Drosophila melanogaster: one gene and its partner. The protein of the gene in region 1 purifies or fractionates together with the protein of each later gene. This does not show direct contact. Each region holds a gene or a part of one and is shown in the gene's direction. Other genes may lie near its edges.

Region 1 (12,082 bases):
AGTCCATGACTTCCTCATAGATTAGCTCCTTCCACTGCTCCACAGTGTGTTCCCTTTCGTCCACGCTGTGATCATATGGCTCCGGAGCGGGCTGCAAGAGATGCATGCAATTAAGCGATTAAAAACATTCAACATTCCTAGAAATCCAGTTTATGCCAGAATCACTTACAGCATCCACTTCCTCAGCATCATACCACACGTTGATATATTCATGCTTCAAAGCCTCGTCCACAGATATCCGCTGCTCTGGATCAATGACTAGCATTTTACTAAGAAGATTTCTAGCGTCAGAAGCCTTCCGGCGGCTATTCTGATTATTATCATTTGGAAACAAGCCATCGGGGAAAAGTCTATCAAATGAGTATCCAGTGTATCTAGGACGATTTTCCACATAGTTTCGGACGGTTGGCTGTAACCGTTGCATAAACGAGGGTGATGGTGTACCTAATTGCTCTGAAAAAACGTAAAAGTTGACAATCATAACGAGAATCAAGTTATTTAAGCAGCAACATACCAATAATTTTATTCCACTGATCTATATGATCCGTTCCAGGAAACAGCACACCGCCCCGTATCATTTCGCCCATAATGCAACCGACGGACCATATGTCCACGTTCTCTGTGTATCCCATGCCCAAAATGACCTCTGGAGCCCTGTAATATCGGGTGACCACATAGGGAGTCATCATAAAGGTAGTTCCTGCAGTACGTGCCAGACCGAAATCCAAAATTTTTAGAGTGCAGTCGGCCTTTACAACTATATTGGATGGCTTTAAGTCCTGCAAATGAAGTATTTCATATATTTCATACTCATTTTAAAGATGTATTCATACTGTACGTACTCTGTGAATAATTCCTGCTGAGTGTAAATGTTTTATTCCGCACAACATTTGATAAAGCAAATAGGACATTCTGTCGTGATCCAAGTCCATTTGGATGACCTGGCAGAGATTAGCGTCCATCAGCTCCATGACCAGGTAGACATCCTGAAACTCTTCCAAGTTCCTTTGCGGCGTAAAAGCATTAAGTAAGCCAATTATCTACGGATTAAATACCTATGTTTAGTAGAAATTTGTTAAAGTTAAAGGTGCAAGTTTCATACGTTTTTATGGTTAACAAGCTTCATTAGCTTGAATTCCCTATATGCTCGCTTGGCATGGGTTACATTTTGGAATGGTCGAGATAGTTTCTTAATCGCCACATTTTGCTGGGTGATAGTATCGTAAGCGGCGCTGAAATGCATTAAATTTGTTATTTTTTTTTTTCATATTCCAGCTAATCCCATCTAATCTAATCTAATATACAATGGAGCGTTACAAATATGACTTCATACTCATGCGAAATATCTTAATTGTTTAAGCCAAAAAATTGTTAAATGTATTATATGTAATAACATATTGATAACCACTTACCATACTATTCCTTGGGCACCTGATCCTATGGGCCGTAGATTAATGTACCGACTGTGGATGGTGAAGTTGGTGTCCCCCACCTCGACGGTGTAGTGTTGGTGCTGAGCTGTCGTCATTGTTCACTGATTTTATTTATTACTAGTTGAGAGCAAGGAGCATATCGGCCTTTTCAAGAGGGTAAATAAGATAAATCAATACGGTTTTACAGTGTGATTCTGTTTTATATAAGGAGCAAAGACGTCCGTATGTATGGCTCCATTCTGAATGGGTGGAGGCAGTTTTCAGACAACTTCGTCTGGAATTAGGGGGTAGGAAAACATTAACTTTGCCTGGCCTTATTTCGGCAGAATGTTATGGCCATTAAGTGGGTCTCTGTTGTCGCGAGGGGTGAAATTTACTGGCTAGTGTGTGGCGAGTTTGTTGCCAAACCACGAGCAAAAAATATCGAGTTCCTTCAAAAAGATACAATTGCATAACGCAGTCACTTATTTGAGCCGACTTCGAATGCCGAACCCCCTTTTCTATTGATAAGCATTTAAATGTTTGCCGAACACATGTCGAATATGGTTGGAAAAACACCCAACAGAAATAACCGAGCGTTTCGTTCTTTGAGCAAAGTGTTTAGCGGCACGCACAGGAAAAAAAACCGATTTAAAATCGATATGTCCGGCTTAAACATAAAAGTACGGAATGTTGGACCACAGCGATGTACATAGCGTTCATGTGTATGCATGCCGTTGCCTGTGTAAATATGTACATACACACGATTTGTATGCGGATGAAAACTGTAAACTTCTACTGGTATACATATGTGTAAGATGTAAGCCACATACATACATATGCACATACAGCCACACAAATGTGGGTCGATAATTTAGTAACTTTTCAAACTATCTCTCAGATAAAAGATATTCCCCGTATTCGTACATCGAAAAAGCGCTCGTTTGCGCTGCAGATAATAAAGCGGTCTACGCTTCGGGTAGTGTCGATATGTAAACGTTAGACATTTGCGCATACATAGGTACATACACTCTTTGGGCAGTTGACATTTTATGTTAAATATCAATAATTTTTTTCATAACCGGCACAACTATAATTGCTTTCAATCGATTATGGCACGTTTTGCAGGAGTGTTTCGGTGATTCGATATTTGATGTGAATGGAACGTAATAGAATATTTATTTACCATTTAACGAAGAAGTACAGAATTTCTTGTGAAAATATAAAATCGATTTTTTTTCTATTTTATTCTACACACTGGGCACTCAAAGTGGCGAGCATTTTAAACTATGTTAATGTTATTGAAATTTAAGAATCAACTATCTGCGGCACTTTCGCATGAGAATAATTGTACATGGATACAATACAATATACGAAAATCTATTGGAATATTCGATCACAACAAAGTTACTTAAATCGATGTGACCAGATTGCAGTAGGACCAAAACCAGAAACGGCTAAAGTCAGCCAATCGACTTTTGATTAAAATTAGGTTTAATTAGGGGTTTAAAACCTAATAAGTGTTAATAACTTACAAATAAACATATACAAATGCAATTTATTTAATAAAGACCAAAAACTAAGTTGGCGCAGTGTTTCATTTCACCGTTCCGGTCATTAGATATTCCTTTGCTCGACTTATCGAGTATACATCGAATGACGAATGAGAAATACTGTCATCACTAACAATAAATAAAAACAAAAGAGTTGAAATACACAGCGATATGAGGACGGTTGGTTTTTGGCCACTGATGAATCACATAAGCTGATAAGTGCTAATTTTAAAATCTTGTCCTTGCAGTCATCACCAGCACTTAAATACCTATTGGAGAAGGATGTTCAGGTGTCGAAGCATTTTGTAGTAGCCGTCTCCAATCTGTCGTTCTTCAAATCCCTGCGGATCCACAGCAGATTTCTGGAGATATCATGCGATGGAATCGCCTGGTTTGTCTCATGGATCGCCTTCATCTGGTTGCTCAGCTCGAAGAGCTTGTATCAAATGCAAGTCAATATGCTCTTCGGCCTGATACTCGACGTAGTGATCGTGGCCGTGCTGAAGGCGCTTGTTCGTCGCAGGCGACCGGTGGCCAGCAAGGATATGCTGACCATTGGACCCGATAAGTTCAGCTTTCCCTCAGGTCATGCCTCCCGGGCGTTCTTTGTGCTGCTGTTCTTCGCCAAGCTGTATCCGCTTCACATCATATTCCTAATGCCGGTCACAGCTTGGGCTGTAAGCGTGGCCATCTCACGGCTCATCCTCCAGCGTCATTATATTTTGGATATCTGCGCCGGTGCTGCCATCGGAGTGTTGGAGGCACTAATCGTGGGACTTCTGTGGATCAGCGAGGAAACTGCATTTAGCATTGTGGGCTTTGTTACCGAGGAAACTGTCGACAGCATGGAGTAACGATAAGTTACGATTGGAACACCGAAAGCAATAGATAATCTCTAGATCATTATGATAAATGCTTTAACCAAATACATTGTTAATGTTAAATTCATATTATTGTGTATTTCGCATAATTTTTCTACCCTTATTTCACTGTGAAAAGGGAAAGTGTACTTTAAATGAGACTAAAGTCGTTATACAACCATCTTTAATAAAATAAATAAAGCTTTTGAAGATATTTGGATTATTAATTATAAGAAATTATAGTGTAATTCCTTTGTTCCGAGTCATAGCACTCCTAAATATATCGATTCATCGATAAGGAGTCAACAACCCCAACGACTTCGTCGGGGGATGAAATGTTGTATGCCACATAAAGTTTTCGCGAAAGGATAAATACAAAAATATTTTCGGAATCGTTGGCATGTCAATTGGACTATTGAAATAACAAAAGGCTTCATATTGTTAGCTAGATTAAGCAATATGAACAAATACTCGGCATTTATAGTCTGCATTTCGCTCGTGCTTTTATTTACAAAAAAGGATGTGGGGAGCCATAATGTGGACTCAAGAATATATGGGTAGGTATTTTCACTGAAAGTTTTCCCAAGTTTCCGCAACAATAATTAGCGAAATACTTTTGTGTGGAATTAATAATTAATGAAATCATGAGCTTAACATGTTTTATATATTTTTAAATTACTAAACATAGTGTATACTCGAATGCAGAAATCTTTAGACGCCCTTATCCTTTTAATCCTTAAAAATGCAATATATTATTTGCCCTGCAGTTTCCAGCAATCATCAGGTATTTGCCATATTTACAATGGCACCATTTGTCGCGATGTCTTGAGCAATGCCCATGTTTTCGTATCCCCCAATCTCACCATGAACGATTTGGAGGAGCGATTAAAGGCAGCTTATGGAGTAATCAAGGAATCCAAGTGAGTATGATAACTATTTCAACATTCCGTTGCTAATGCCAAGTGCATATTTTCAGGGATATGAACGCAAATTGCCGCATGTACGCTTTGCCCAGCTTGTGTTTCAGTTCAATGCCAATTTGCCGGACTCCAGAGCGCACGAATCTCTTGTACTTCGCCAACGTGGCCACAAATGCCAAGCAACTGAAGAACGTCAGCATTCGACGGAAGAGAACCAAGTCCAAGGACATTAAGAACATAAGCATATTCAAGAAGAAGTCCACCATCTACGAGGATGTGTTCAGCACAGACATATCGAGTAAATACCCACCAACCAGAGAGTCTGAGAACCTAAAACGCATTTGCCGCGAAGAGTGCGAACTTCTGGAGAACGAGCTGTGCCAGAAGGAATATGCCATTGCCAAGCGACATCCCGTCATCGGGATGGTGGGTGTGGAGGATTGCCAAAAGTTGCCGCAGCACAAGGACTGCCTATCCTTGGGCATCACCATCGAGGTGGATAAGACGGAGAATTGTTACTGGGAGGATGGATCGACATATAGAGGAGTGGCCAACGTCTCCGCATCCGGAAAGCCATGTTTGCGATGGTCATGGCTGATGAAGGAAATCTCCGATTTCCCTGAACTCATCGGTCAGAATTATTGCAGGTAATTTTATTTAATTTATTTCGAAAGGAAATCGAAATAATAATTTATATTTAAATCTCGTTAGAAATCCTGGAAGCGTTGAAAATAGTCCTTGGTGTTTTGTGGACTCCTCACGTGAACGCATAATCGAACTTTGTGATATTCCAAAATGTGCGGACAAAATATGGATTGCCATTGTCGGAACGACTGCAGCCATTATTCTAATATTCATAATTATATTTGCGATAATACTTTTCAAAAGGAGAACAATCATGCACTATGGAATGAGGAATATTCATAATGTGAGTAAAAATCTAAGGATATACAACAGAGTATTACAATTATTCTTACAGATCAACACACCCAGCGCCGATAAAAATATCTACGGAAATTCGCAGCTTAATAACGCACAAGATGCTGGCAGGGGAAATCTGGGAAATCTATCCGATCACGTTGCTTTGAACTCCAAACTTATCGAAAGAAATACTCTGCTGAGGATAAACCATTTTACGCTGCAGGATGTTGAGTTTCTGGAGGAGCTGGGCGAAGGAGCTTTTGGTTCGTAATTCCAGTATAATCAGGTTATATAGTTCTTAATATCATTTCGATTGTAGGAAAAGTCTACAAGGGACAGCTCCTGCAGCCGAACAAAACCACCATAACAGTTGCCATCAAGGCGTTGAAGGAAAACGCCTCGGTGAAAACGCAGCAGGACTTTAAGCGCGAAATCGAACTAATCTCGGATCTAAAGCATCAGAATATAGTGTGCATATTGGGCGTAGTGCTCAATAAGGAGCCCTACTGCATGCTGTTCGAGTACATGGCCAATGGTGATCTGCACGAATTCCTAATCTCAAACTCACCCACCGAAGGCAAGTCGCTGTCGCAGTTGGAATTCCTGCAAATAGCTCTACAAATCAGCGAAGGAATGCAGTATCTGTCGGCCCATCATTACGTACATCGCGACTTGGCAGCTCGGAATTGCCTGGTAAACGAGGGTCTGGTTGTGAAGATATCCGATTTTGGACTATCCAGAGACATTTACAGCTCAGATTATTATCGGTAAGACTTTGGATATACATATATATATCAAGATTGCAGCTACAAAGAGCAAACATTTTTGCTGGTTTTTATTGCAGAGTTCAGTCAAAGTCGCTATTGCCTGTAAGGTGGATGCCCTCGGAATCGATATTGTATGGAAAGTTTACGACCGAGAGCGATGTTTGGTCCTTTGGAGTCGTTCTTTGGGAAATATACAGCTATGGAATGCAGGCAAGTATCTTAAACTTGATTTAAATGCGCAATATCTAATTCCAATGCTATCCCTTTAGCCATACTACGGTTTTAGCAATCAGGAAGTAATCAATCTCATCCGTTCACGGCAACTGCTCTCCGCTCCGGAAAACTGTCCCACTGCTGTCTACTCGCTAATGATCGAGTGCTGGCATGAGCAGTCAGTAAAACGTCCAACATTCACAGATATTTCGAACCGTCTCAAAACTTGGCACGAGGGCCACTTTAAGGCCAGTAATCCAGAAATGTAAACATAAGATTTTACACATACATATGTATTTTCAACGAAATGGACTGTAAAATAAGTAGGTTTAAGAATTTAATAAAACGAATGATATCGAAAACCCGAAGAGTGTTGAGATGTTTTGGGAAAGAACCAATTGATTTTCGATTAAATTACCTTTTTTGTAACTTTATTAAGTGAGATTTGTTCGTAATAACCATATGGTATTTAAATGTTTTGTTGTGCCAATCGGAAAATTCTTTTATCCAGTAGCAATGCCCAGGGCAACGCCACCGAAAAATGATGCCAAAAATATGTGCAGATCGTTGACTTTTGGACCCTCTTCATCGCCAATCAGTTTGGTGTACCATTTCGCCACTTTCTTGCCGTTTCGGGTTAGGAGGCTTTCAGCTCTGTCTAATTGATTGTCGACATATCTTTCGGTCTGCAAATTGAGTTCAGCATAAATATAGTAAGCATATAGATAAACGGTTTAAATGAATTATACCTTATCCTTCCAGTTCTTCTCACGACCCAGCGAGGCTTCCACTTTATCGGCGAGCTTATCCACGCTCTTATCCAACTTAGACCAATTTATTTTTATAAGTCCTTCTTGGTGGGCGATTTCGAGCAAGATTATGCTGCCGCCAACTGCAAAGGCAGCAAATTTGCCTATTTTCATTGTCGTATATCCTGTGACCCTGAAAAAATTGTTATATTTTTAGTAAGATAAGATACACAAATTCCAGCAAATTCTATGGATTTCCTTAAATTTGCAACTCATCATTTGGCGCATATACATGTATAGTAAATTGCCGAGTTATCTAGCTTATCTTGTGCAAATTATATCAGTTTTATCTGATTAATAACTCATTTTATTACACTATTTAGTTCTTTTCCTTTTTAGGGAGGTCCTATATTTCTGTATCCCGCAAACAAACAACATTCATTTATACACGTATTTAGAAGTACATATTTGCAATAGATGGAGCGGCTAAGCATTCAGTTGTATATTTTAATTAAAAACGTATTCTGCAGTTATCTACCAGCTATTACCGAAAGTATGCAAAAAATCAATTTACTTCAAATTCCAAAGACAATCGGCATTGCTAAAAATTTAAGTGATGCGCCGCAATGATATAACCACATACCATCCTGATGAAACGCCAATAAGCATCTGCGAATATGCTGAACGTTGGCCAATATCGTTAAAAACTTTCTTAAAAATTTCCGAATAATTAGTCATTTTTAAAATTAGATGTCGACGTTAAGATGCGAAATTCTGACCGCCCAGTTTACGTCAATTTAACACAATAATATATGCCCGTCAAGATAGCGTCAATTTGGACAACATTTTTGTGTTGGGTTTATTGGAACTCGGAAGTGGAACATATGTTAGGGGAATTATGGGAAAAAGAGTAAGAAAAATAACTGGTAGCACTTAACGTAGAAACTGGAATAATCATACTTTGAATATTTATTATTAATCTGATAATTACCTTTGTGAATCCTGTATGCTTTGCACAACAATTGGCAAATTTCAAGAACCTCTTATTATTTATTTATCTTAGCTATTGCCTCATTTGAAACTATTAGTTAAATTCCAATAAAATATGAGATATCCATTTAATCGCTGCACTTTTCGTGTCGAAAACTAGTTTCGAGATCAAAACTATAAATTTAAGTATTTTTTTCTAAACGTCAATTATTTCTCCCCCCTTACTTTAGACAAAAACCCAAAGTTCGAATGAAATCTACAATACAAAATGTACATGAGTTTATTTAAAATAATTGTTAAAACTACTTAAATAAATATCATACAGTATATTTACAAATTCGAATAGATTAGCCAATTACTTAGCAATTTTAATTACTTTGCTAAATCACCAAGAATTATAAGTCCGTAATAAGCATTGATTACAGGTATGTTGATTCACCTGGAAATAAAGAAAAATATTCATTTATTAGTTTAGATTTTTTTGCTCAAACAAGCTTAATGAATTTATTAACTAAAACTCAACGAGAATACGATAAAAATCAAAATAGCATGAATGAATTAAAAGCAGAAGACTTTTGATGATGATGAAACACACAAAAGACACATTCTGCTTCAGGATATTTAGTTTTCAACAGCAACAGTGAAATAGTCGAATTAGTCGAAGTTCGACAGTTCGGTGCTAGTTTTGTTAAATGAATTGAGTAGAAGGACAATGGCAGTGCCCAGAGTCACATACTTATGAAGCGGTGAGGGATGTGTGATGAAAATCGATGCGGATACTGATTAAGGATTGCCGGTTAGTTGACCATTCGAGCCGCAGGCATGGGCTCCCACTCACTCACCTATGTACATTAAATTCTAAACAGATGTGCAGAGCGCAGCTGTAATCGATCGTTTCCCCGTGAAAGGAAGTGGATCTGTGTAAGCCTGTCTCTGCTAGTATACTCGTAAAAGTCTTGGGGACATATAAATCCAGTTCTGGTGGCTTCGTTTTATACATCAAAATTAAGAGATCGTTCAGCCAGAAGTCTTTTAAATCGTCTCGGGTGATTATTCTGGCGAATTCAATAAGTCAATAAGAATATAAATGTGTGGACGATAGCATATGTCGATAAAGGCTATCTCTTTTAACAAATCTTAATTTGAATACTCATACAATACAATTAATTACAAAATCAAACCGATAATGGTCCAGAAATCAATTGAATCGAAACTCTTAGTATTAAATAAATGTGAAATTAGAACAATTGTTCGGTATTACTCGATTAAAACGGATAGATTTTTAGTGAGATCTGGTCATTGAGAGTATAGTGTGCAGCAAACTCACCGGATTCCCAATCTTCCTCGCCATCTTCGGTACCACAGTTGAATTTTGGAGAGGATTGTTTACATGTGATGTATGAATTGTAATTGATGTTCTTATTTTCGTTTATACTTCGAGTGTCAGAGGTGATATGAACTTCACTATTCTGCCATTTGATTAAATCAGTTTTCTTAATGGACGGTTGATTAAATATATGATTTCGTTTTATTTCCTCTTTTGTGGAATCATTCAAGCTTGGTAAAAGAGTTTTGCTATTAGGCTGTTTGCGTTTGCACGCAGTCGAAGTATTTTTTGAATTGGTTGATGTGTCGTATTGAATTTTAGTCTACGAATATTAGATTTATAGATTAAGCATATTGATCGGCGCAAAACGTGTTTTCACTTACAACTATATCCTTATGATCCAACGTTTCTATTGTTTGACTTTTCGTTGTATTATCATTGACGATCGCAGTTAAGACTTTTTTTTCGGCATAGCAGTTTGGAGACAAACTGTCATAGTCTGATCTTTCGAAATTTAAAACATTTTCGTTTCTCTCTTTTTCGGACGCTTCAGCTTGAACATCATTGCTAAAATTCTCTGCCTCAAAAACGATTGAAATCTGAAAAGAGAGCAAGCACATTTATTTGGTAATTTCGCAGCATCTATTAAAATGCTTCGAAATATCCTACCTTGAATTCTTCTGAAAATCTTTTATGTTCACTGTCTTTATGTACATCATCGATTTCTGATTTGCTTAAAGTGTGTATATATTTGTTAACTGTTCCATCGGACTCGCAAGCTAAAGAGAATGTTTAATTAAATCGTTTATTTAATGCATGTGCGATATTAAGTATACTTACGTGAATAGTTTCGTACAAAAAACGTATTTAGCCAAAAGTGACAAATGATTTTATCTGGGGATTTTTTTGTGAGTTCAAATTTTACATCGCCGGAAACTGGTATTGATGGTTTAATGGTCAAAACAAATGATTTTTGAAAATCAATCGGCAAGGTTTTCAGTCTCTGCAATTATAAAAAAAAGAAGAATGTTACTGCTGGTTAGAAAGGTATTCGAAAAGGAACACTTTACTGCACTGAAATCGTGTGAAATATACATTTTTAAAATGCTGTCTATAGTCTATCAATGATGTATCTATATACTTTATATACTTACATCTGGCTTTGCATTTTCTGTGGCTGAGTCGTGTAATACAGATATTGAACATTCTACCATGCCTAAGTTTTGCACACAACTGGACTCCGAGAAGCGTATTTCACATACCTGAGATACAAAAAATGCATATTTAGATTTTGTACGGCGCTGAATGTGGCGCTGCTGCTGGAAATACTCACGTTAAGGCTTACTTTCGAATATGGAACACTTGAACAAACTAGTTTGGAAAAATACTGAACATATCGACGCTGAGATGGGATTGTCACACCTTTTCGGTCCTTTGTACGCTTCTCATCATACCACGCTAATGCCTCGTCGGCGGATTTTTTAATTCCACTGAACACTAAATATGCGCAGATCATGGTACCTGAAATGAAAAAAAACTGGGTTAGTTTTTTAGCCCTACAAATATCGAAACAAGATCATAGTGTGCCATGATATTTATGAACTTTCGCACAAAATGTTGAACACATTTCCTACCGGTTCTGCCCTTTCCAGCTTTACAGTGCACGGCTACAACATTGGACGAATCTTCCTTGAGCCACATATCAACATCACTGCAAAATCGTTGTATTAACTCAATCGTTGGAGGGTTATGATCATCGAACGGATAAACAGCTACTCTCTGTAATGCGAAATAGTATATTTTACATATTTTACGCCGACAAATAGAAAAAGTTCAACAAAATTACCCCGCGAAATTTAGCAACGTCGTAACTACGCTCCGAGCATAGGTTATAGATTTTGTAATGCTGGGCATGATTCTCTTCCAATAGCTTAAAGACATCTTCCAGACGGTTTCTGAATAGGCCCTCTAGTTTATCCGGTGCTGGATAGCCCATGGCAATTATGTTATCATTAATGTCTGTGGGTAAATAGATAATTTAATTTAATATTCCAATGATTGCGGTTGATTCAATAACTTACATGTTAAATCCAAATCGTATCCTTTTTCTTTGTATCGTATACGTTTTTTACTCACTACATTGCGTATCACGTTGGACATTAACGAAATAGTGTTGGCCATATTTTTAAGGTTTAAAGACTTGTCTTTTTTATTTAAATTAGATTAGCTGCATCCATTCAAATGTATTTGGGAACCAGTGCTTGTCTTCTATTTACTCCATTGCAAAGTGTACGTTCTGAAAGGAATGTAAAGCATATTAATTAATATGCATATGATTCTAACTAATCTGTTTATTTTCCACAGCAAGTT
Region 2 (11,683 bases), on another chromosome or scaffold:
TTTGTTTTGGATTCTTTGACTAGCTTGCACCATGATATGCCATCCTTTGAGGCAGTGTCACCCATACCCATCATCTTGTAGGGAATTTCCATCTAAAGCATATCCAGCGACAATTTCCCTTCAATTGCCGGCATCTGCACTTAATCGCTTCATTTCCATGTCCATTTCCATTGGCATATGCTGGCAATCTCCAATTGCCAGTGTGCTTTATGCATATTTTATGGCTTTTTATAGCGCTCGAATAAACAGCGCACACCACACATCAAAGGCGTTATCCAAAGGCAACTACACATGCGCAGGTTACTCCGCCACCAGGCAGCAGATAAAAAAGTAAGCGGCAAGTGCAATTAAACGACTGCGACTACGACCACCCCTGCCTGCATTTCCACCAGCCGCCCATCAAATGGATTGGTATGGTGTGGTATGGTATGGTATGGCATGGTATGGTATCCTATGCAGCACCCCAACCTCTCTATATGTATGTACCATGCACCTACATATGTACATATGTATGTATAGGCGATTTGCCTTTGATCTGCGGCGGCGACGACGACATCGACATGCATTAAAAACTTGTTGTTGGGGGCCCTTCCGCTGATGTTTTTCCTCTTCTTCGATTTCCCCCTTTTTTTTCTATTTCTTTTTTTTTGGTACTTTTTCGCCTTATTTGTTTATAGTAAGTGCGCACGGGGCGGGCCTCAGCCCAAAAACACCTTCAAACGCTGTGTACTACAATATATGTACGTATGTTTATTTTGTTTAGTCTACGCAAAGGCCGCGTTACTAAAATTTATTTTAATGCCTTCTAATGTTTGATGTTTGCTATGGGCGGCATTCCGATTTGGATTCTAGCCGGAATCCGTTGCAACTTTTGGGATGCTCCATAAAATTATACGATTGCGAGGCGTTGAGTTACGGTAAGCAGTTCGAAATAATAACTTAAACATATATGGATGGCGGTATAGTCGAAAGACCCTAAAAGATGAAAAGATTTCTTTCTAGTTTGGCCAGGAATAAGTTGCAACGTTTAAAACTTTCCAAGAACAGAGCAATCAAATTTGTAACGATCTTCTAAGGATATACTTAAGACTTCCGACAAAGAGTGCGATTTCGAAAATAAAATTTTTCAAATTGAAACTTTTTGTATGTATGTATTTATCTACTGATTTAGCAAAGAGGGTCTCATATTTTTGAAATAAATGAAGTTGTGGCATCGTGCGACTTATCCAATTAACATATTACCCCTTGGCAACCCCTTTGCAATATGAAAAGTTAATACAATATTATTAACACACCATTTGCAGCTTCGGTTCGCCCGATCGCTTTGCACCCCAAAATCAAGGGAGGCGAAGGCGAAAAGGAACCAAATTCAAAACAAGGCCTATAATAAAACATAAGCCCTACATTCCAGCCAGGCGATGGCATAAATCTCCAACTTTATGACATCAATAACTGTCGTTCGTCCGAAGAGTCAGCGCGAGCACTGGGAAATGGGAGGTGGAAAAGCGCACTGGAGGCCCAACTTTGGATGGTCGGTCCCTTCGCCCTTCTGGGCATCGCCATGGCCAGCCTTTGATAACCGCACACACGCATTTCCACGCAGATATAATCACAAAGGGCCCGGACTGTTAATCAGGGGCGGGGTTTGGGACTTTTGGGGGAAGGAGGAAATGGGGTGGGCACCACCCCTCTCGGTTATATAGTTTATACAAATGGCAACGGCAGTTTACGACTCTTGGGTGTCAGTCAACGCCGGCTAAAGGATCAGCTGCAATTGTTTTTGTGGCTCTTCGCTTGGTTTTCCATTGTGCGGGGTTGAAAGGCCTCGTAAAAAAATCAAGCGGAAAACTATAAAATGGAAATCCACACACACACTCACGCAGGCCCGTTCTCATAATCGCACAGTAGCAGCCAAGGACTGTCTTAGATGCACAGCAATAGGTTTGATCTATTAGAATTTGTTTAAAAAGTTTAGAAACTATAATTTTATACCAATCAACCATTTTACCTATCCAACAATTTCATAGAAAACTTCTACAGTTTTATAAACATTATATGATTAAGAGCCGAACCTTTCAATCAAAAGATTCAATTGGATTTAAATTTATATGTCATTGTTTTTAAATTGGTTTTGCTGTATTATCAAAATTTTCCTTCGTTGCTCTTAGATAACATTTTCTCTCATAGAACATTTTAAAATTTTCTTTATTTCTTCGAGTGTGGAAAATTGGTAGTGGAAGTATCTTGCAGTTTCGTCGTATATCTGCTCGTAAAAGCAGCAAGCCACCAATGGATTTCCTCCCACTGCCGACCGGCCACCCCATTTTAGCTGATTCTTGCTTTGGTCATTAAGACGCATTATTGTTTGGACTCAAAAAAAAAAAAACAGGGGGAAACGGTTGGATGATGAGACAGCGGGCGGTTTGCATAGTGACTCTCTGATCTGATTGCAGACAACTGATAGCTTTATTTCATCAAATGAAATTAGGAAGAGTGTCGGGTTCAGCTAGGGGGAATAATCGCAAATTAAATACTCATGTTTGATATAAACTCATAAAACAATTCTTAGTTTTTTAATCACAATAAACCATTTTTACCACATCTCACGATGATCATCTTAAGTTGGTTGCTCTTTATAAATATTATATATTTATATATATTATATAAATTAATTTTAGGTTTTGGTGTATTTTAAATTAAATGAAACTTGTGAGTTAAGTCTTTAAAATTCCACTTCAAACTTGCCGCGCCACAAACGACTGCTGCAGCTCGGCAGCACTGGCAGAAATACAGGGCATGCAAGAAATACTGGTCACGAGTAGGTATATTCCACCGGAGAGAGCGCTAACTGAACCCAGTATTTTCCGCTGAGAGAGCAGCAAAAGCCGGTTCCCACCAACAACTTCGAACAGCCGGCGGAGTTCAGTAATAAACAGACTTCGAACGCGTGCAGTTCAGATTGAGTTTGAGGTTCGATTGGATTCGAGATATCCAAGTTCCTTTTGCGCTACGTTTTGTTTAGCCGAGTTTGCCCCGAACTAAAATCACCCACCAAAGCCGGTTCGGGATGCGATGATGCCAAGGATGCAGCTGATGCAGCCGGGCTCTTGTATCTTTAAGATACAAATTAAGTTGATTTGTTGCGCTCGCGTTCTCTTGGGTAATTGAACCCCACAGTTGGGCTCCTTGCGCCCTCTGCCGCGCGGTCTTCGGTCTTCGGTCTTCGAGCATTTCGTTGCATTTTGTGTATCTAGATACCTTTGTCGGTATCCGTATCCGTCGCTTGTCAATCTGGTCGCTGATAAAAAAGCAAACGCGAACGCAGCCACGAAACATAAACCAGCCGTCAACGGAAAATAAAAGTAAAAAGCAACAAACAGCAAGTGGCGTATCAGTTCGTGTGTTCTCGGTGATAAATGCATTTCATGCGTTCCAACTATGTAAATAGCAATTTAATTTGAGTGTCCACAGTAAACATCAAAAAACCGCCCTGGACTCCAGTCACCACCACCAACAACACCATCCCCGGTGGAGCCCAGTGATCCCATTGAAACCCCGGTAAACCCCTGAAAAGGGCAGTCGTTGTCATCGTCGTCATCGTCGTCGTCGTCGTACGTCTGTGCCATCCAAATATTGAATATTTACAAATGCGTTGAGTGCATTTTCGAGTGGCCGGCACTTACAGTGACTATCTGGTGGATGTGCGAGTGTATTCATCGGATTGCCAGCAGCATAAAACTTCGTTTTCGATACTGATCCAATACGCGAGTGCTTATATATTTTTTGTGTCGCTAATTGAGACCAAAGGTGTCGAAGTGCGGCGGTTATACATATACGCAGATGACTGCTAGGATGATCTCAATATGCGGCCTGGTCATGGCTTTGATGATGGGTAAGTGGTCTGCTACGATTGGATTTTGTGGACTAAGTGAGGGATTGCCTTATTCTCGGGGGGTTCTTTGCAATCAAATTCATTTCATTTGCTTAAGGGGGTTCTCAATTCCCATTTATTTGCTTATTTCGATGTCGGCATTTGGCGATTGCCTTTGCAACTGAATCGCTGGGAACTTCAAAGGAATCACAACATTTGTGTTGCGCAGAATATTGGCCATTCCATCTTGGGTGAGACCACCCATAATATGGACTCTATTAACCTCGAGGGCTCTGCCGTCCACACAGAACTACTCCTATTTCCTTATTCTCCAAGGGCGATTTTGTTTTGCGAAGAAAAACCGAAAACCCAGAGAGCCTTTGTCTCTGGCTATTCAATTTGAAAGGCAAGCGGCGTGCAAAATGACTCAATTAAAAGTCAGCCAGGAGCCACCAAGCTGGCATTACTAATTTGGAATAGGAGAAGGAAAGCAGCGGGAGAGGAAGCCGTTTGGAAAATTATGAGTCTCAGGTCTCAGTTCAAAATGAAGTCATTTTGGGCAAACATCAACATCGAAAATGTGACGAGCTCACTAACACAGGCAACAATTGAGGTCCTTGTGGCCAGGTTATCCTTTTCAATGACAGATGTTGCTCATTAAATACTTTTCTTTAGATAAAGTAGTTAATTTATAGGCAGATCAGCTAAAATACTCGCTCGGAATAAGAAAATATTGTTATAAAACTAATAAATATTTCATTTCTATACCTTTTAGATCCGTTCTGTTTTAATAGATTCACTAATTAGAAACACTATATAGGCATGTTTCCGAATGTTTTTTCCCAGTGCTAGCACACACACACACTTGAAATATAAGGACCATCCTGCCAAGGATCACGATACCCACTTGAAGTGAGACAAGCGACGCCGAAATTTCGGCTAATCAAATATAGTTTACAGCGGGGATTACGAGTGGGATAAGGATCGTGCCCGAAGGAGGGGGATCTCGGGTCTCAAGAGGGACACGATTATGCAAACGAAGGTCCTTAACAACGCATGTGTGTGCGTGCGTTCGAGTGTGTGTGTGTGAGACAGGACAGAGCTGAAAACTGCTGACTGTTAAGTAGCACAAAGGCAAACAGCCGCTAACAAAAGCCAGCCGGCAGACAGCGAGGATAGGGGGATTTGGATTCGCATATTTCAAAATCTGTGCAACGCTACTACAGAGGTCCATTATTTGTATGGCAAATAATGTGGCTGTCAGTGTGTGTGTGTGTGTGTGTGCTTGTTTGTGTGAGTTCCTTTTGTGTGGCAGTCATAATTTGTTATTCAAGCATGCAAAATGCTGCATGCAACATGCCAGGCCAAAAGCAAAAGCATCGTACATCCCACATTAAGGGCAGCTGTGGCAACTACAAAACTCCCCTTCACCAACCTTTGCCACTGCCACTGCCACACCCCCCGCCCCTGGTCCTTCCGCCTGTCTGCATCCTTCGGCAACCTTAAAGACTGCCAGTCGAAAGTTCTCCAGAGGGTTCTCTCTCGAAAATTGTATGAACTAGTCATGCATTTGCTTAGAAAGCCGGGGTATAAAGGGAATTTCAGGATTTAATGCTGCCTTATAATGAATCCAATTTATTAGGCTGTGTTCTATGAACAACTGGTCTCCGTTTGAAATACTTTGAATTGAATACAGCATCCTTGAGGTTTTCTACTACACTGGATTGGCTGGATAAGGGTATTTTACCTATATGTAATAGACATAAAACCATAATTTTGTAAGCTAGTTATTTCCTACAAAGTAGCGTTCAAAGAAATCATATCCAAAATGGTATTTATTTTACACATAAGAAGTAAGAGACTACATAATAACTTTTCATAAATAATGCTTGGCAGGCAGTACGATTCCCATTTTCATGTTGTTAAATCAATTTTGTTTGAAACACAAAGGAAATGATCCCGAGAAGCTCGATTGTAGTTGAAGGGAAAATCCCTGAATAAAGCCCTGATGACTGTTTATTAGCCATGCTGTAACCTTTAAATTGAATTCCAACTCTATCAAAGACCATCCAGTCCTTTTTCTGGCCATTTTTACCCCTGAAAAAACCCTAGATCAAACGTTTGACGCGTAATTGTCAGACACAATTCCACTTTTCATTCAGTGCCTGTCTGTCTGTTGACTTGCAGTTTTCCAGCACCGCTTTTCCCAGACAAATGCCTCGCATTCCACAGTGACAGTTCAGTTCTAGCCCCCCATTCCCCATTCCCATTGCCACCCCCCGCACACAGACACACGCACACAAAATCAAATCAAAACGCCACCCATGGGGCAAGTTCAAGTGGCTGCCACAGTGGGTTGCCTGATTATTACTACAATATTTCGCATTCATTGTGCTTAATCGACGAATGTTGCCGCACCATTTGTGGCAGTCGAAGTTGGATCTGTATCCGCATCTGCATCAGAATCTGAATCTGAATCTCAAAGATGCTGATGAGCATGAGGCCACAGCAGTGGGCACTCGTAATACTGCCTGCTGCTGACTTGCTGATTTCGGTTATTCGAGCCAAACAAACGAACTAATTATCACACACGCACACACACCCGCGACGAGGGTAAGTGGAAGAATGGAACGATGCACTGAGAAAGATTTCTTTGGGTTTAAAAAAAGAATCTTTAGAGTTCCAAGTACACACCTTAAAGTATATAAATCACAAACGTATTACTTGTGAAACGGTTGTTATAGAGAAGATTGTTATACCTATAATGTCAAAAGATAAAAAAAGATAAAAACATCTACCAATTCCTATCATAAACTCTGTCATATCTCATTACATGCTCATAATTTGCGAAACTGCTTACCAAAAGTTATAAATAAACATTACTTAGTTTAATAAATCAATTGAAAGACACAGTGTTGAAAATTCGTTTGTATTGTTTTTAAATTTAGAAAATCAAAAATTCCCACTTGGCTACCCTTCTTTTTCGCCAGTGTATGTCCACAGACAGATCGAGATGGGCAGTTGGAACCGGGACTGCCCGCTGCTCCGTGGCTCTGTCGCTGATGTTTGCAGCATCAACACTTTTTCAGTTTGCTGCTCGGCTTCTGCGGCATCAGTGCTCCTCCACAGAGCTCCACCTCCTGCCCCACTCCTCGTCGCTTTCCGCACCCTCTCACGCATTTTTGTGCCCACATCAGCGCAATCAACGGACTGCGGAGCGGGACGCATATTTCTTTAATCGACGCCCAGTAACTGACATTGTTCCCTCGTCTCGTATCGAATCGACTCAACTCGACTCGACTTGACTGGAACTCGAACTCGTTTTCCGCACGGCAAATTAAATCGATTCAGGGGAGGATCGAGTCGAGCAGGGCAGGGAGTTAAGCCCAGCCAAGAGGAGGAGGTGGAGGGCATCCCGGTGCCTGCCCAACTGCCTTTTCGGTTGGGCCGTGTATCATAACACGTCTGTCGGCGATGTGACTGGCATATGAATCGCATGGAGTTCCTCCTTCGAACGTCGAAAGGCCAGTAATGATGTTGTGGCTGTTGTTGTTGGCCCGCTTATTGATTCCTCGGTGCGGTCGTGCTCTTGGCCAAAAAGGAACTGCGCCCGGGACCCACAATCTGAGGTGTTGTCTCAAATTGCTCCAATTAGTGGCCAAATATAATGGTTGCCGTTTTGTAGTTCTTGTTCATGTTCCTTGCTCCTGCTACCCAAGTCGTATAATCAAAAGTAATTGCGTTTGAATTGCTTTTCGTTTCGAGTTGCGGTTGGGAGTTATGTATCTTCTGGCCATATCTACTCACTTGACTTTGTAGCCTCGAATGGCGCCACTTGTGGTCTGGATTTAAACAGCTTCGATATGAAAAGGTTCTTCGCTCATTTGGTAATCGCCATTGAAATGCATTCATATGGGCCACACCTGACCAGTGAATTGCATTTTAAATGCAGCAAATTGCATTTGCGGCTGTTGATTTAATATAACAACCGATTTGCATTCACAAATAAATGAGAAACACACAAATTAAATGTATAAAAACATTTTTCCTCTCGAAATGCGTTTATTTTTCGCATGGTTTTTATGGGCGCCTTTTTCTTCTGGCTTTTAATTATGTTGGTACAAAACTCTGAATACGTTTTTGTTTGTTTTTTTTTTTCACCATACACATATTGTAATTTTGTTTGAGGACACGCAACTTTGGACAGCAATGGCGTAGGTTTTTTCTCCATGCCTCTCTCTGATACTCTATAAAGGGTATTTTTTTAAATTTTAATGGCAAAGATCATTTCATTTAAGCTTTGAACTTATGTAATTATTTAGTTTGTAACAAATTGTCCAATAATTCAATAATAATAATATGCTACTTAATAAGCACTTTAATCATTGCAGCTAAAGAGTATTCAAAAAGGGTTTTTAGATTTAAAAAAAAAGCCTCTGTTTTTTGTGCTTCCGCCCTTTTTTGAGTATTTTGTTGCTGGTGTTTCTGCCTTTGCTCCTGCCCTTGCAGAGCGCTTTACAAAATTACATTTGCGTTAAACACTGTAATTTAAGCAGCTTAAGCGCATTTAATTTGTTTAAACCACTTTAATTAAACAAAATTATGGTTAATGCACTTTTTTTTTTTAGTTAATTAAGCCAAATTGTTCGATGTTCAATTTAAATTTAAAGGGACTTTTGTAAGAGCTGCAAAACTCTGCCCTTTAATCGGGATAATGGCTGACTGTAATGAGATCCAGTTTACTAATTTCCCTCGCTTATTTCTATAATTACAGCTTCCGTTTTGGCCAGCTCATCGCGTTTCCAGCGAGTGCCCCAAAGTCAGTCCGTGGTGGAAAATGAATCCGTGAAATTCGAGTGCGAATCGACCGACTCCTACAGTGAACTGCACTACGACTGGTTGCATAATGGTGAGCAGTGCGATTTACATATCCCATGGTTGTGCATTAAGCATTCGCCTTCCTTGCACTCCATTCCAGGTCATCGGATTGCGTATGACAAGCGTGTCCATCAAATCGGTTCCAATTTGCATATCGAGGCGGTGCGGCGCACGGAGGATGTTGGCAACTATGTTTGCATCGCGACAAATTTGGCCAGCGGCGCCAGGGAGGCGTCTCCGCCCGCCAAACTGAGCGTGATATGTGAGTAGTTATATTCCCAGTTTCAGTCCCCATCTCCATCCCAATCCCAGTGCCCATGTCATTCCAACTCCAAGACCCACAATTGTTCGCAATAAGCAAATTGACTGATGGTTAAGGGCGACAGCAAATCTGTCTTTGCTTGTGCAAATTAACAAAGCGAAATTGAATTGTAAGCGGGTAGTTGAGAGCACTGCAAAAAACTTCACTTGATATTGTTACATTTTTATATCTAAAAACTGAAGTTAGTTCTTGAGCCATAAACTTTCAGTGGAATATTACATAGAACTTACCTAGATTGATAGTAACTGCTGCACTCTGTAAATGCTCACCGGTTTCTTTGCGTGTAGGGCAAATTCATTTGATTAATGCTGCATTTAATGGTATTCCAACCCCAACCCCACCTCTCCCTGGCCCAAACCCCCCTTTTCAGATACGGGCAAACCACAAGACAACAAGAAAAGGTAAAGAGGCATAAAAACGCAACCGAAGCGAACGGAACGCAGCCCAACAAACCGATGAAAGATAAAAACCGAAAGTTTTGATGTACATGCGTCAGATCCCATGCTAACCCAGTCCCTTTTGCCAACTCCCCCTTCCAAAGACCCCCCCCCACCCCTTCACCAATTAACCCCTTCGCGCAGAGCTACAGGAAGTGCAGTGCAGTGCACAGAATGCATCCCATGCATCGGACCGTGAAGAAGAAGACCCTGGTCGAAGAAGAACCACACAGAGAAAGATCACTTGGTTCTAAAATGCAGCTATGCATTCGAAAAGTAAACTTCTTTGAGAAAACCATCTTCAAGATACATCCTCAAGATACATCTTCTTCTTTGCAATTATGATAAATTGTAGAGTTCGTTTCAAATCTACCTTTTCAATTCTTAATAGCGGATAAAGAAACATATCTATGAGTCTTGAGTTAAAACAATACGATTAGATAAAATATCTCTCAGTGCATCGCTGATTTCCTTCAAGTAGCAAGTGCAGTTGCAGTTCTTGGCCTCGTGTTGAGGCAGCGGCGTCACGTGATTGATGTTCATTTAGTTGCGTTTGCCTTTAAGCAGAAAAATGCATAAATTTACCAAATAGCTCCCCCCACTTCCCCTACTCCACCGTCTTCCTTTTTCATGTAAACAAAACGCGAGTTTTATGCACAATCTGGAGTGCATGTGTTTGGGGGCCCTCCAATATACGAGATACATATATCTGGTATCTGGTATCTGCTATCTGCATCTGCATCTGCATTTGTATCTGTATCTGTAGCTGGGCTGTCAGCGCGGCCACGGCATCCGAGCTGTGATCAAAGCCACCCAACAGCAGGGGCATCTTTCCTCCGCCGTCGCTATTTATACACCAGCCTCATCTCAAGTGTTTTTAGCTAATTAATTAACTAATTAATTTGTAGTTTCGGGAGTTGATTTTAATTGCCACAGCTCCCTTCCCCCCCCAAAAAAAAAAACAGCTGCTGCTGAAAAGCGTGGAGAGTGTATATATATACGTATTTGTATCTTGGAGGGGATGCAGGGAAAGTATCTTGGCGCCAGCTGAAGCTAAGTGGGTTATGTGATTACCACCTACTCCTGCCCAGCTTGCATCAATCTCATAATTCTTGAGCAGCAGACAAAAACTATTAAAATATGCATGGGGCAGTATGGATGGAGATGGTGTCGTTGCTCCTCAGTTTTAGGATTCGGTAAATATTTTATTCAGGACTCGTCGCCATTGTGTCCCCTGGCTGCATTGTCTTAGCCCGGATTATCCTTCCCCGTCTGCACTTTTCTCGCAAATAAGTGTTCAATTAAGCGCGAGAAAAGTGTCATTTTCCTATGCGACATTTAACAAATTTGCAATGGAGACTGGAAAACAAGAAAATTGTGTGGATGGGAAAGGCAATCTGGTAAAAGCTCATTAGATAGTGGAATATATACTTCTGCATCAATATAAAATAGCAGATAGATAGAGCATTAACATTTTAAATGGTAAATAGGTACTAAAAGTTCGGAAATAAACATATTTTTAAAGAAATATTATGAGTTTGTAAATATATTTTAGTCTTACAAAAGATACACACACATAGTTGAGTTTTAGTACTAAAGTTAATCTGAATTTATGAAGTTATTGTGAGTAAGCGCTTCTTTAATGAAAGGCTAATGGAAATCCCAAGGATAGTTCCAATCTTAGCGGGCAAATCAAGTAAACCTCTTTTTCGGTATTCATAAAAGCGGGAAGACAAATGCTGACAGTGCCCGGCGACTAACCGATGACTACAAGGAATTAAGCAGACAGCGAAGAAATTAAACAGACAGCAATAAAGGCAAAAGCGAGTCAGAGCCAAAAACAAGGACCAAGAAGAAAGCAGCCGCGTCAGACCAAAACCAGACGACTGGCTCCTCTGTGAGGACGATGAGTTTGGGGCGAAAGGACATTCCAAACATTTGCTCAGCGAAAGGGGTTGTTGGACTCACAGGACTGGCAGCTCCGGTACTCAGCCAGGATACACAGACTAACCATTGAACAGCTGAGCGAAGCTGGTGGCTAAAACCGGAGGGAAATGTGTGTTGTGCGCTGAAATGTATGGGGGGGAAATGAAATGCAACATTAACACGAAACATAAACATAAAATGAGAAATGGCAGCAGCAACAATGGCAACCGAACCGAGCCAGCAAAGTCA

Evidence for each region.
Region 2: the proteins of Ror (region 1) and otk purify together in Drosophila melanogaster (affinity purification with western blotting, with the first as the bait; one study listed by BioGRID). This does not show direct contact.

Annotation. Positions count from the first base shown.
Region 1 is NT_033779.5:10,247,683-10,259,764, forward strand, and holds Ror (Ror), read left to right. Parts: upstream 1-4,160; 5' UTR 4,161-4,284; coding exon 4,285-4,382; intron 4,383-4,592; coding exon 4,593-4,745; intron 4,746-4,801; coding exon 4,802-5,392; intron 5,393-5,456; coding exon 5,457-5,673; intron 5,674-5,724; coding exon 5,725-5,929; intron 5,930-5,985; coding exon 5,986-6,433; intron 6,434-6,510; coding exon 6,511-6,643; intron 6,644-6,702; coding exon 6,703-6,915; 3' UTR 6,916-7,004; downstream 7,005-12,082. Other genes in the region: bsk (basket), read right to left, coding at 1-91, 170-453, 515-779, 843-1,040, 1,103-1,232, 1,413-1,528; CG31717 (uncharacterized protein), read left to right, coding at 3,137-3,145, 3,214-3,819; CG5676 (uncharacterized protein), read right to left, coding at 7,150-7,332, 7,396-7,588, 8,039-8,133; Pten (phosphatase and tensin homolog), read right to left, coding at 8,805-8,824, 9,713-10,034, 10,096-10,311, 10,382-10,491, 10,553-10,715, 10,867-10,974, 11,046-11,233, 11,347-11,491 and 2 more. UniProt on the Drosophila melanogaster protein: Tyrosine-protein kinase receptor that functions during early stages of neuronal development.
Region 2 is NT_033778.4:12,011,087-12,022,769, reverse strand, and holds the start of otk (off-track), read left to right. Parts: upstream 1-2,923; 5' UTR 2,924-3,840; coding exon 3,841-3,892; intron 3,893-6,874; exon of another isoform or gene 6,875-7,675; intron 7,676-8,645; coding exon 8,646-8,780; intron 8,781-8,849; coding exon 8,850-9,011; intron 9,012-11,683. UniProt on the Drosophila melanogaster protein: Acts as a calcium-dependent, homophilic cell adhesion molecule that regulates neural recognition during the development of the nervous system. Component of the repulsive Plexin signaling response to regulate motor axon guidance at the embryonic stage.